3 linked regions of the Bombyx mori genome follow. The protein of the gene in region 1 binds, or shares a complex with, the protein of each later gene. Links are inferred from orthologs where the notes say so. Each region holds a gene or a part of one and is shown on either strand. Other genes may lie near its edges.

Evidence for each region.
Region 2: the proteins of GATOR2 complex protein WDR59 (region 1) and GATOR2 complex protein MIOS are in contact, whole or in part, in a cryo-EM structure (PDB 7UHY), measured with the Homo sapiens proteins. The link is inferred for Bombyx mori from reciprocal best matches to the Homo sapiens genes WDR59 and MIOS. Residues at the interface, in NP_085058.3 of Homo sapiens: Tyr871, Arg876, Glu877, Arg879, Ala880, Glu881, Leu883, Lys884, Pro889, Pro890, His893, Lys894, Gly895, Ile896, Glu897, Phe898, Gly899, Val900, Tyr901, Arg906, Glu908, Val909, Arg910, Thr912, Phe922, Gln923, Ala925, Ile926, Cys927, His928; in NP_001357005.1 of Homo sapiens: Asp705, Trp710, His711, Arg713, Ala714, Ile718, Ser721, Lys728, Pro729, Leu730, Ala731, Gln732, Val733, Phe734, Val735, Ser736, Cys737, Asn738, Phe739, Ile744, Lys780, Pro781, Leu782, Pro783, Leu787, Cys788, Leu789, Gly793, Pro795, Gln819.
Region 3: the proteins of GATOR2 complex protein WDR59 (region 1) and protein SEC13 homolog are in contact, whole or in part, in a cryo-EM structure (PDB 7UHY), measured with the Homo sapiens proteins. The link is inferred for Bombyx mori from reciprocal best matches to the Homo sapiens genes WDR59 and SEC13. Residues at the interface, in NP_085058.3 of Homo sapiens: Ala525, Tyr526, Gly527, Asp531, Ala532, Asn533, Ile534, Pro535, Phe536, Pro537, Arg538, Thr539, Ser540, Gly541, Ala542, Arg543, Phe544, Cys545, Gly546, Ala547, Tyr549, Val551, Phe553, Thr554, Arg555, Met557, Ala644, Gly645, Lys646, Val647; in NP_899195.1 of Homo sapiens: Val4, Ile5, Asn6, Thr7, Val8, Asp9, Thr10, His12, Asp14, Met15, Ile16, His17, Asp18, Ala19, Gln20, Met21, Asp22, Tyr23, Tyr24, Gly25, Leu28, Val42, Pro59, Trp61, Gln62, His67, Pro68, Tyr79, Ser105, Asn107.

What each region holds. Positions count from the first base shown.
Region 1 is NC_085110.1:13,175,512-13,179,461, forward strand, and holds the start of GATOR2 complex protein WDR59, read left to right. Parts: upstream 1-1,150; 5' UTR 1,151-1,324; coding exon 1,325-1,570; intron 1,571-1,932; coding exon 1,933-2,140; intron 2,141-2,622; coding exon 2,623-3,201; intron 3,202-3,754; coding exon 3,755-3,822; intron 3,823-3,905; coding exon 3,906-3,950. UniProt on the Homo sapiens protein: As a component of the GATOR2 complex, functions as an activator of the amino acid-sensing branch of the mTORC1 signaling pathway. The GATOR2 complex indirectly activates mTORC1 through the inhibition of the GATOR1 subcomplex.
Region 2 is NC_085114.1:15,850,642-15,854,907, forward strand, and holds the start of GATOR2 complex protein MIOS, read right to left. Parts: upstream 2,801-4,266; 5' UTR 2,647-2,800; coding exon 2,526-2,646; intron 1-2,525. UniProt on the Homo sapiens protein: As a component of the GATOR2 complex, functions as an activator of the amino acid-sensing branch of the mTORC1 signaling pathway. The GATOR2 complex indirectly activates mTORC1 through the inhibition of the GATOR1 subcomplex.
Region 3 is NC_085131.1:3,993,752-3,997,926, reverse strand, and holds protein SEC13 homolog, read left to right. Parts: upstream 1-1,461; 5' UTR 1,462-2,278; coding exon 2,279-2,848; intron 2,849-3,237; coding exon 3,238-3,609; 3' UTR 3,610-3,675; downstream 3,676-4,175. Other genes in the region: uncharacterized protein LOC101741756, read right to left, coding at 344-706, 786-929, 1,009-1,182, 1,252-1,311, 1,390-1,461; DNA polymerase epsilon catalytic subunit 1, read right to left, coding at 4,114-4,175. UniProt on the Homo sapiens protein: Functions as a component of the nuclear pore complex (NPC) and the COPII coat. At the endoplasmic reticulum, SEC13 is involved in the biogenesis of COPII-coated vesicles.

The DNA of each region.
Region 1 (3,950 bases):
CTTTAACCGCTGAATCTACCATCTCATCGGAATCACGATCCACTGAGAAGATTCGGCTAGAAACTCAGTGAGCCGTGTCTGTGGGTTAAGTTGCACGACGAACCCTTTCTCGCATTCGATAGGCTTGACGAGAACGGTGACCAGTGCTTGGAATGCCTACAAACACCGAAAGTGGATTGGGAGAATCTGAAATGACGTGTTTAATGCGACGGTAACTGTTTGTCGTGCGTTAGTCTGATTCGAGTACTTAATTTTCCGAGGCCACGCTAAGAGGATGAACTGGAATTACCACTAGGAGACATTTATTAAACAGACAAAGTGTCTAATCCTAGCTAGTGTTAAATACATTTGTACTTCATTTTCGGGTTGCACGTCTATCCTAGCGTAATTACAGCAGGCAGTTTTAACTCTCGAAGCTATCACAGGACCTGGCAGTTTTTTGTTTGCCAATATGGGGAGATACTACGGACGTTTTGTTTGCATCCTCAGACTATAATAGTCCTATTATTAAGATGCTGAGCTAATAGTGAAAGCTATTTAAAAAAATACAAAATAAACATAAAAATATGAATCCAAAGTGAATCGAAATAAGAATAAATTGTTGATTTGGTTTGGCAGTAAAATAAACTGCTTGCGATTGATGTGAAGCACGAACTTATTGAATAGTAAAAATTGTAAATTTACGATTACTAATTTTTCCATAAAGTATGAAGCAAATTTTTTATTATTAAACTAGACTTTGTGGCGGGAACGCGAGGAACGAAGTTGTTGAATTGTTTTATTTTGTCTATTTAGTATTTCTTCAGGTTTAAATGTGTAATAATGATGGCTTATTAACTGTTTAGTATGTGTGAAAGTGCACAAAATTAAATGTGGGAAAATTAAACAAAGCCGCTGGACGTAGCTTTTCGAGATCCTCCAAAAGCCCACTGAAAAAGTCTCAGTAAATAACCATTTCACAGAGATTATATTTCATCCCATATCATCTAATCAAATTTAATATCATAAATTTTATTAACATCAACTTTATTGCGTTTCAGTTCATATAATATTTTTTTTTAAATATATATAAAAGTTAGGCGTTATGATACGATACGGTTGCCTTTCCAGTTTTAAAAATATAACTAGTAACACTAAATAAAAAATGTCAAATGTCAATAAATGACAACTTGTAAATAGTCTCTAAATATTGTCTTTCAGGAACAGTTTATGTACATATCCAAATAGAAAATTAAAAATAACTAAATAACTATACATCATGTTAAATATTAAAAATCTTGGGTAATATAGAGATAATTTCGATTTCATAAAGTCACTCTTCGGAATGTCAGTTCACTGGAGTTCTGAAATATTAAAATGGGAATATCGCGAGCTCCAGGCCACTGCAATGACCGTGGATTACACGGGCAACAACGTACTACTAGCAGGTCGCAGGTGCCTGGCCATAAAACAAATAAATCAGGAAGAAGATGGCAACGCGGTAAAAAAATATCCTCGCCAAAGTAAATATGATGCTGCCGGTGCTGAGTGGTGTCAATCGTATCACGGGCAAAAATTATGTGCTATTGCAGTAAGTATTTTAAATAAAAAATCTAAAACAATACTAAATTTAAAGAAATTATTTGATGATTTGAATATTAAGTGTTTTGTGAAATCTGGAAATAGCATCTCAACTGAAGCAATTTACTAAACATTTGAAAAACCTAAACTTCCATTCCGTCCATACATCGGTTGTAGATTTTAAACCTTTGATTAAATTCCGAAATAAAAGGCAATTTTCTGAGTAACACATTGTACTTCAAATATTAATTTAAGAAAGCTCACAAACCGTAATATTATATTTTTACCAAAATTGATTTCTGTATTATTAGGTCTATTTCTTTTTGTTTAATTTTTCACATTATTTTAAATAAAATAGTAAGTTATTTTTAGAGCAACCAGAGAGTTGATGTGTATGAATGGAGAGATGGCAATGATTTGACATGTATATGTTCACTCCGTGGCCACACACGGGTTGTTAGTGACACACACTTCCACAGACAAGATCACAATCTTATAGCAACTTGCTCCATAGATACATTCACTCATATGTGGGATTTGAGAGATGCTCGAAAACCTGTTGTGTCGCTATGTGCAGTGGGTGAGTTTATACTTCACATCATAAATAGATTAATGGTTCATTTTTTTTTTATTTACTGCATAGATGGGTGGACGAGCTCATGGCCCACCTGGTGTTAAGTGGTTACCAAAGCCTATAGACATCTACAACGTAAATGCCGCCACCCACCTAGAGACATGAGTTGTAAGGTCTCACTTTAACAGTACAACGGCTGCCCAGCCCTTCAAACTGAAAGGCATACCTGCTTCACGGCAGAAATAGGCACTCACAAGACGTCCTACCACCAGATTACCAGATTCCTTCACCGTTGAAGTTAATCGTTAAGTACTATTTTTCTTACGTGAGTAATTTCTACGTATATTTTTTTGCTGCCATTAATGTTAAGGTGACTTAAGTACATATCCCGTTATTGAATTTTCAATTGTATTCCAATAATAGAATGTAAACCATAACAAGAATGGTTAACAGCAGAAATAAGCAAAATGTTTGTATTCAAATTTCAGCTGGTGCTTCACAAGTGCAGTGGAATAAAGTAGCATCACACATAGTAGCCACAGCCCATGACGGTGATATTAAAATATGGGATTATCGAAAGCCATCCTCTCCAATACATTACATATCTGCACATTTATGTAAAATCCACGGAGTAGACTGGAGCCCGCACCATGAGTATCAGCTAGTTACATCTAGTCATGATGGAAGCATTAAATACTTTGATATTAACAACGCAAGAAGACCTGAGAATGTAATTATGACAAACTTCCCAGTATGGCGAGCCATTTATACTCCATTTGGCAGTGGTTTGTTGACAATTGGTGTGGGCTGGGGTGGTCTGCCTCGTGCTGAACAAGCGGGAGTTATTGGTATATGGGTTGGAGGTACTCTAACACATAGACTAGTGGGACATACAGACACGGTTCAAACTATGGTGTGGAGATCAAATACCTCCCCATCAAATTATCAGTTGGTTACATGGGGAAGAGATCAATCTTTAAGAGTTTGGGCTATGCATCCATCTTTGTTAAAAATGTGTAACCATTATCTACCAGATGATGAAAATGATGAAGACAACAATAGTGACGGTAAGACAATTTAAATTAATTATACATGAAATTGTCTTAGTCACTAAAGGGCAGTGTTGCATATGATGTATTGTTACCCAATCCCACACTTCAATCTTCATGTTAGTACTCACAATTTTCAAAGATAATTGATCATTCTTGACTTAATCTATACATATATACCATTTTTGTTGCTATATTTGTAAATCTTAATATATTGATTTTTAAAATTTCTCTGGTTGTATATTAATCAATTACATTTGAACTTCTTTTCATACAATCGTAGTTCTTCATGTCATCTGATCATGTTGTACCACATCAAAATATGGGGCTTTTTACAGTCGTTTCGGCATGTCTACAATTTTCTAGAGATGTCACAGTTGCTTTAATATCCGTTTTTTGCTATTTGAAGACAAATGACTTACTTGTACCTGCATTACAATATTGTTCAAGTAATTAAGTTAATTAATTATCGTTATCGGCATTCTTTTGGCTGAATGCCCTGGTAATTGGCAAAGACGATATTTTACCGAATATCATCAAAGTAGAATGGTAAACATTTATATATTTTCAGCAGTGAGCTATGCCTCTACAGCTGGTTCAACAAATGATGTTTCTTTTGGTGACAAAGGACAAGATATGGTAAGTTAAAGGCAGTGTCTCTAACTTATATAAAAATAAGCATAATAATATGTTATTACCTGAACACAATTTTCCATATCAAGATTTCTTCGCAGAATAAACTACCGCATAAAACCTCAATAGATGAA
Region 2 (4,266 bases), on another chromosome or scaffold:
CTTCTAAAACTCTGATCTTACATAATAAAAGATCATTCAATGAATGGGCGACTGTTGGAATTCACAAAAGTAGGCAGAGATTATACGATCTCTATCATGAAAAATCATATAATCATAATAAGTCATTTCATGAGTATGTCTCTAAATATTCCAAGCTGTTTAAAAAAGTCTGTACATTGGCCAAGTCATTGCACTTAGGCAATATTATAAAAAATGCACCTGACAAAATTAAAATGACTTGGAATATCATTAATAGGGAGACTGGGAATGTCAGAAACAGCAATGCTGAATTAACTTTAAAAATCAATAATCGAATAATAACTTCTCATCAAGAAGTGGCCAGCGCCTTTGAGCACTACTTTGCTGATATCCCAGCTTCTACCACAAAATCTTTAATTTCATCTCCTACCGTCGCCGAATCATTACTGCAAAATCATGTTGATAAATGCAGTGTTAACTTTAAGTTCACAAATATTGATATAAAGGACATAATTGATACTTTCAAGCTCATTAATATTAAGAAAACTGGTGATTTATGGGGAATTTCAATTAATGTTATAAAATCCATTATTGATATAATTGCACCTTACCTTGCTACAATATTTAATGACTGTATTGATGGTGGTGTGTTTCCTGATCTAATGAAATATAGTAAAATAATACCTTTATTTAAATCTGGTAGTACTTTTGACCCCTCTAACTTTAGGCCCATTTCAGTACTACCTACATTGAGTAAAATTTTTGAAAAAATTATTCAGGAACAACTTTTGAACCACTTCAATTCCAATAACCTGCTTCATAACAAACAATATGGATTCACTAGAGGTCGGTCAACTATTGATGCAGGTGTAGATCTCATTAAAAATATTTTTCAGGCTTGGGAAGAGTCGCATAATGCCCTTGGGGTTTTCTGCGACTTATCTAAAGCTTTTGATTGTGTTGAGCATAATACATTGTTGAGGAAATTACACCATTATGGTATTAGGGGCGTTTCATTAGAACTTATTAAATCTTATTTATCCGGAAGAATCCAAAAAGTAGACGTTAAAGGAACCAGATCTTCCGGTGTCTTACTTAATATGGGTGTTCCTCAGGGTTCCATATTGGGTCCCTTCCTATTTCTTGTATATATCAATGATTTACCTAAGTTTATTGAAACCCGTCACGAGGTCGTATTATTCGCTGATGATACATCATTATTGTTTAAAATTAAACGACATTTGGAAGATTATGACGATGTGAATGATGCTATCTCGCGCGTGGTACATTGGTTTAGTGTTAATAATCTGTTATTAAATAACAAAAAAACAAAATGTATAAAATTTACCACACCTAATGTTAGACAAGTTGACACTAATATTACTGTAAGTGGAGAGACACTGGAGCTTGTGGATTCGACAGTTTTTCTTGGTATAACAGTTGATTCCAAGCTGCAGTGGGGTCCTCACATATGCAAGTTAGCGAGTAGGCTTAGTTCTGCAGCGTTTGCGGTAAAAAAAATACGAATGTATATTAATGAAGATACGGCACGCCTGGTTTATTTTAGTTATTTTCATAGTGTTATGTCCTATGGCATATTGCTATGGGGCAATGCTGCCGATGTCGAAACGATTTTCATCCTGCAGAAGAGGGCTATTCGTGCTATTTATAATATGCACCCGAGGGAATCCTTGAGGGACAAGTTTAAGGAAATCAAAATTCTAACTTTAGCGTCCCAATACATTTTTGAAAATTTATTGTACGTGCGTAAAAACATTGAAGAATTCCCCAGAGTCTGCGATTTGCACAATGTGAACACTAGGAACAAACATAGGCTTGCGTTGCCGGCGGCTCGAATTAAGAAAATAAGCAACTCTTTTAGGGGGCTGGGTGTACAGCTTTTCAACAAGATCCCACTAAACGTTCAACTACTACCTGTTCATAGATTTAAGAAAACTGTTAAGGAACGTTTGTGCAACAAGGCATATTATAAAGTTAAGGATTATTTACTAGATGGCACTACGTGGGAATGAGGCGCTCGCTCCTGGCCTTTTCATTTTTCATTATTATTATTATTATTTTTAATTGTATTTTTTTGACTTGTTTTTTCTTTTATTGTGAATATTTCTATTTATTTAAAAAAAAAGAAAATATTTGAGAAAAAACAAAAAAAAAAGCCCGCTGAGTTTGTTTCGCCGGTTCTTCTCAGGACTGTGGCTTTTTTTTTGGAACCGGTGGTAGAGTTAACATTGTTATTTGTATTTTGACATTCAACAAGTGTGTCATACTGACATCTAAGTTGAAATAAATGATTTTGAATTTGAATTTGAATTTGATACACTTCAATTAATTTGTCAAAAACTGACTGGGGACTTTTGGTACTTATCAAGAAAAGCGTCTAGTGTTTTTTATTAAAAGTGATTTCTTCAAAAAAATATTTTTTAAGATATTTAAAAGACTAAACTACATTATTATTATTATTATTATAGATATGTAGTGTCCTATATTTAAAATAATAAAATTGTTGCTATATTTAAAATACATACAAGTCGTTTTCTTCTCGATTTCTTTTATCCTTGCCACTTCGTACAAGGTTATGTCTGGGCCCCAAACAATGAATTTGTCATGATGTGCCGGTGACCATAATATATCCAATCTGCTAGACATTATTACACATTTACTATTGCGTTTAAAATTAAAAATTTAACTCATTTGATACAGTTCCGTACGTAAACATGATAATAAATATCATAAACACTTGGTATCAGGGGGTAGTTGTTTTGATAAGAGTTGTTTTGCTTCTTTTATTTTTAAAGATTTTATGCCATGGTAACGTGACGTTTAAGCCAAGTTTTTTGTTTTCTTCTATCTGTTATATTGGAAAATGACATGAAGCGAAATGAGCTGAAGTTGATTAGTTTAAGACTGTAACCGGGTAAAGTGTGGGAAAATGACATAGCATCGCTAAGCGTGGCTTCTTGGGTTATTGGAAAACAATGGACTTAATAATTTCCAAATTTGGACAGAGAGATTACTTCAATGGTTATTCTCTGTGAATGATACGTCAGAAAAGCAGAGTAAACGTGGTTCCAAAATTAATTCCAAAATTAAAATACAATTATCCTAAACGTCTTAAGTATGTGTAATATTTTGTCATTAGTAAATAATTGTAAGGTAGCGCCCTCTGTGAATTGATATTTTAATTTCACGTATAATCCTAAATTAAAATTCACTACAAGAGCATTTATACACACGTTAGTATTAAAAAATCTCACAGATGGCGCTGTATTAAATAGTATGTATATTTCTGTCTCATTCTTTGCTAGCTTCATCCTACACATTTTTGTATTTGTGTCTCTTACCTGTCGTTTTTTCCGTTGCATCCGGTTTGAAATCACAACGATTCTAAAGAAGTTTTCACTTCAAAAAAAAAATACAAAAGTTTTATGACCCACTTAACTTATTAGTTGAAAGCGCCAGGACGCGATTGATGCGTGATAGGTTAAATTGGTTAAGTTCAATCATTGTGTGTATTGTAAGTAGGTAATTGCTAATTACTCAATACTAAATTGAAAATTCAGTTTAAATTTAATCTGTTCATGGTTGTTTTATATGAACGACCTGTTATTTTTGTTGTGCCTTATGCACGCACAGGTGTTTGAAACCCCATCCCCCTCTTCCGACGTCGCGTACGACGTAATATTATAGCGAGACCAAAGAGAACAGTGTAATTTCTATATGTAGTCTGTGCACTGTGGTTGAACCACGGATAAGTTGGGTAAATGAAATGACGTTTTGCTTTAAAAGTGAGTGAAGTGAATTATTCACTAAATATTTGAAATAAATAAAGTGAAGCAATAAAATTAACGAATTTAGATCGCACCAGTTTGTTGTATTTATGTAAGTACTGCAGTTGATGTAAACAGCTTTAAATAAGAACATTACACGTATTTCACCTGTTTCTGACATTACTACTGTTTGTGAATTATGATTGTGGCAACGCCTCGTATTCCCATAGTTTTATTCGCATTGTCTTGCATTTCTCACGTGGTATTACTGTTTTCGGTTCGATAATTCCGTGGATGCTATTAGCGAGTTTGCAGTTACTCATAGAACAGTTAGATCGATAGCTGTAAGGTTCAGCTCTATGAAGAAATTCCATTTGTGAGTCACTTCATAGATAAAATTCTACTCATTCGGTTTTTAAAAGCGTTTATATGTGAAATTAAATACTACTTTGAAGTATTTATAATAAAAAACCATGGATGTTCTAAGTCAAATTAAAAG
Region 3 (4,175 bases), on another chromosome or scaffold:
GATATTATTTCAATAGATTATTTTAGCTGTACTTTATCTTTTGCTACTTTTTAAATTAAGATTATATATTATATATATATATTTTAATGTAATATAAAATGTACACTATTTAATTTGAATAAAGAGCTTTTTTTACATAAATCTATTTTGTTTCAATAAAATTCCAATTTAAGTAACGAATTAGTAATTTTTATTTACCAACATTAAATGTATACAAAGATAATTTATTTCACTATATAAATGGAAGGAACATCACTAGTTTTGAAGAGAAACCGAATAATTATAATTGTAATAACTCATTTGGTTCTTTTCTGAACTAGACTTTATACGAATGTTTTTCATTTCATGATGTTTGTACTTGTTTAGGTTTTGACCTGAATGGAATTAATATTAAATTCTTTGTTCCTATTAAAGCACTTTTGGTGGTAAATTTTAACAGTTGCAGTAACTTCTTGGCTGTCAATACAAATAACTCCAAAGTAAGCTGTGAACCTTTTCTCCAATAAACGATATATGCTGGAATTGGTGGGAGATTCTCAGACCAAATGCCGTTTCTGAGGCTTTTTGCTTGTGCTTCTGCTGATAATAGAGCAGGGGCAATTTGTGACTCAATGGTATTCTTTTTTAATTCTTTAGGAAATGATGCTTTTGCAAATCCAAGCTCCACCAATTTTTTACCAATATCCAATGTTTGAACATCTTTACTCTGAAATGGAAAACATTTTTGAAGAGTAATTTTTAATAATTTAAGGTATTTTGTTGAATTTGTTTAAATTGAAATATACCTTAGGCTGAGGTAAATGCAATAATACAGTAGAAACTAGATCATCATTATCTCTTCCGATTGGCTTTAATGTCACTTGCTGGCCCCTAGCAACACATTCCAGCCAATTGACTGCATTCCCACTAACTACTTCAATTCCCCACAGCTAAAACAAAACAAAAAGAAAATATTTTTATTACTTTGTAGGTAAATTTTCGTACAAGTTATATTTTTATCACATTTACCTTAACTGGTAGTGGAGGTTTACTGGAATGCCATAGCGGTAAATATATTGGGGCTTTGTGATTGACCAGAACACGAACTGGTGAATGTTGCACTCCAGCATATAATCCTTTCAAAGGTTCATGATTTCTGATGAAATGATCTGGAACTTTACTGGCTTTCGAAAACTTGCTAACCTATCGAAGTAATTTTATTATTTATAGTTATGTAATTATTAATATAGGGTTTTTTAAACAAATACTTACAGGGCGAATCTTATGAACAGATATGGCGAGACCAGCGGTGGCTAGAGCATATACTGCTATCTGTAAACAACAATCAGATGATAGTGCTTCGTTTACAAAGTTATTATTATCAACATCAACTTGTAATTATCTACATACGTTAACCCCGCGATAATCTTGTTGTAATAAATATTGCATGTTGTAAAATATTCCTCCTTCTTTTTGAGACATTTTGATGTCTACAGATACGAAATTCTCATAATTTCTTAAACTTTCGTAAATTAGCTCATCAATATTTTCAATCCAATTCTGAATTTAGATGAATGAGAGAAAAAACAGCTTCAGACTTGTCAGAATTTTTGTTTGATTCTACTAGAGCTCTTTATTATCTTTGGTTAACTACCAAATGTAACCTGACACAGTGTTTAATCTTTGGTTATTACTTACATAAAGCATAGATTTTTTAATTTTTTTGAGGCCTAGTCTTGATATGTCAATAAAAGTATCTTCATACAGTTTAGGTTTAGCTATAAATATAAATGCTTAAAACTTTTGGGAGATACTTCATAAGTAACGCGCAAAAAGTAATAAAGAAATAAATAACTTAACCAAAGATTGTGCTAACCTAAGGTTAACAAATAATACCAAAGAGGTAATTTATGACCTCTAACACACGAGCGGCATTCTGGCACTAAAATATTTGTGCTTTTTTGTAGACTGTGTTGGAGCTATGTGATCAATAATCTCGAATCATCAAGAAAATCTCTAGCTTCCATAACAAAATTGATAAAAAGAATAATTCAGTTGTAGCGTCGCGTATGTTGAAGCTGCAATTTAATTCTGCCACTTTTTATTATTATATTGTTAAACTTACCTAATAAGTTTAGAGGTGACGCACTGCGACTGTCTTTGCAATGTCGAAATAGCTCGTGTGGATGGATACAAAATATTTTACTGGTAGCACTGTTGAAATTCCACGTCAACTGATTTGACAGTTGATTGCCCATTTTCCGTTGTGTATTGTGTAGGTTAATAAAAATATATAATAATGATCACTGTTTTGAATACTATTGATACCGGCCATGAAGATATGATACACGACGCCGAACTGGATTATTACGGACTAAAACTAGCTACATGTTCTTCGGATAATTCAGTGAAAATATACGACATTAAGAATGGTACACAAACATTGGCTGCTGATTTGAAGGGTCATTTTGGCCCCGTGTGGCAGGTAGCTTGGGCTCATCCCAAGTATGGGAACCTATTAGCGTCATGCTCTTATGACAGGAAAGTTATCATATGGAAAGAGTCTGGAGAGTGGACTAAACTATACGAATACACTGGACACGAAAGCTCTGTGAACTCTGTTGCGTGGGCGCCGGCTGAGTACGGCTTAATCCTCGCTTGTTGTAGTTCAGATGGCTCAATCTCTATCATACAATATTCACAAGATACTGGTAATTGGGACGTAAAAAAGATAACGGGTGCACATGCCATTGGTGTTAATTCTATTAGTTGGTGCCCAGCTTTATCTGCAGATTTGAACTTAGATCCGCTTACCAATAAAGATGCTCCAAAGAGATTAGTTACTGGAGGGTGTGATAATTTAATCAAGGTATGTTACAAGTTGTGTTTAATTGTTTACTGACTCTGTATTACAGTAGTTAGCACTCCTAACTGTTGCGCCACAGAGAATCCTGATTTGGGGCCAGATGAATGTGTGTGATTTATTCCGGGTTATTTATTTATAAGGCAAAAAAAGAAGGCAGCAATTTTTCTTTTCACAATATCATATATTGCATGCATTAGTTAATTTTAAATGAAAATAGATATATTTCAACAATAATTAGTTGAATTTTTTTAATATATCTACCTAAAATTACCTTGTCCTTTATTATCGATATGTTCTTAATAAACCCTGTATTTAATGATTACTATTTAATGACATCATAATGCTTCTTAATTATAATTTTTTTAGTTAGTTATTCCGGTTGTTGTTTTCAGATTTGGAGAGAGCAAGGTGATCAATGGGTTGAAGAGAACAGATTAGAGTTGCACATTGATTGGGTCAGAGATGTAGCGTGGGCACCCTCTCTGGGATTACAACGTTCCATGATTGCCAGCTGCTCCCAAGACAAGAGGGTTGTCATATGGTCTAGTGATGATAATGTATCTTGGACACCAACAATATTAAACACATTTGATGATGTAGTATGGAGTGTTAGCTGGTCTCTCACTGGCAACATCTTGGCTGTATCAGGAGGAGATAACAAAGTCAGCCTTTGGCGTGAGAGCACTGATGGCCAGTGGTTATGTATTAGTGAAGTTGCCAAAGGTTTGGGCCAAACACCCAATGATGAAAGAAGCACACTTTGAATTTGCTTTTAATTTCATTTGTTAATTTTGTAATCTGCTAATAGTAATATAAAATATGTACATTAACACTGATCTTTTATAAACTTCATCAAAACCCAGATTTAATCTATATATTCAATTTGATAATCCAATAATTGGGTTGTGACATATCTAACAGGTTTTAAATAAATTGCTATGATTATTATTACTGTATGTATTGAACATGGGCTGAGGAGATGAAGTCACTATTGTCAATGTACACAATAATTTTCAATTTGATAGTATATTTTATAGAATTTAAAGAGATATTTTTAGTTTAAAGAGAAAAGTTCACATGTATACTTGACATGGAAATAAAAATTAGAGAAATGTACTTTTCACCTTGGAAAGTATGTTGCCATATGTCGCCAGAATAACTAGAATAGGTAAAAATATTTGGGTTCTTGTCTTAATTGTTTGTGACAATAGAAATAAAACAAAGGGACATAATATATATAAAAAAAATTATACTTAAAATACAAACTATCACATGTTTTTAAGATTAAAGTCAATTTGTTCTAACAATAATGGCATCTGATAATATTCGG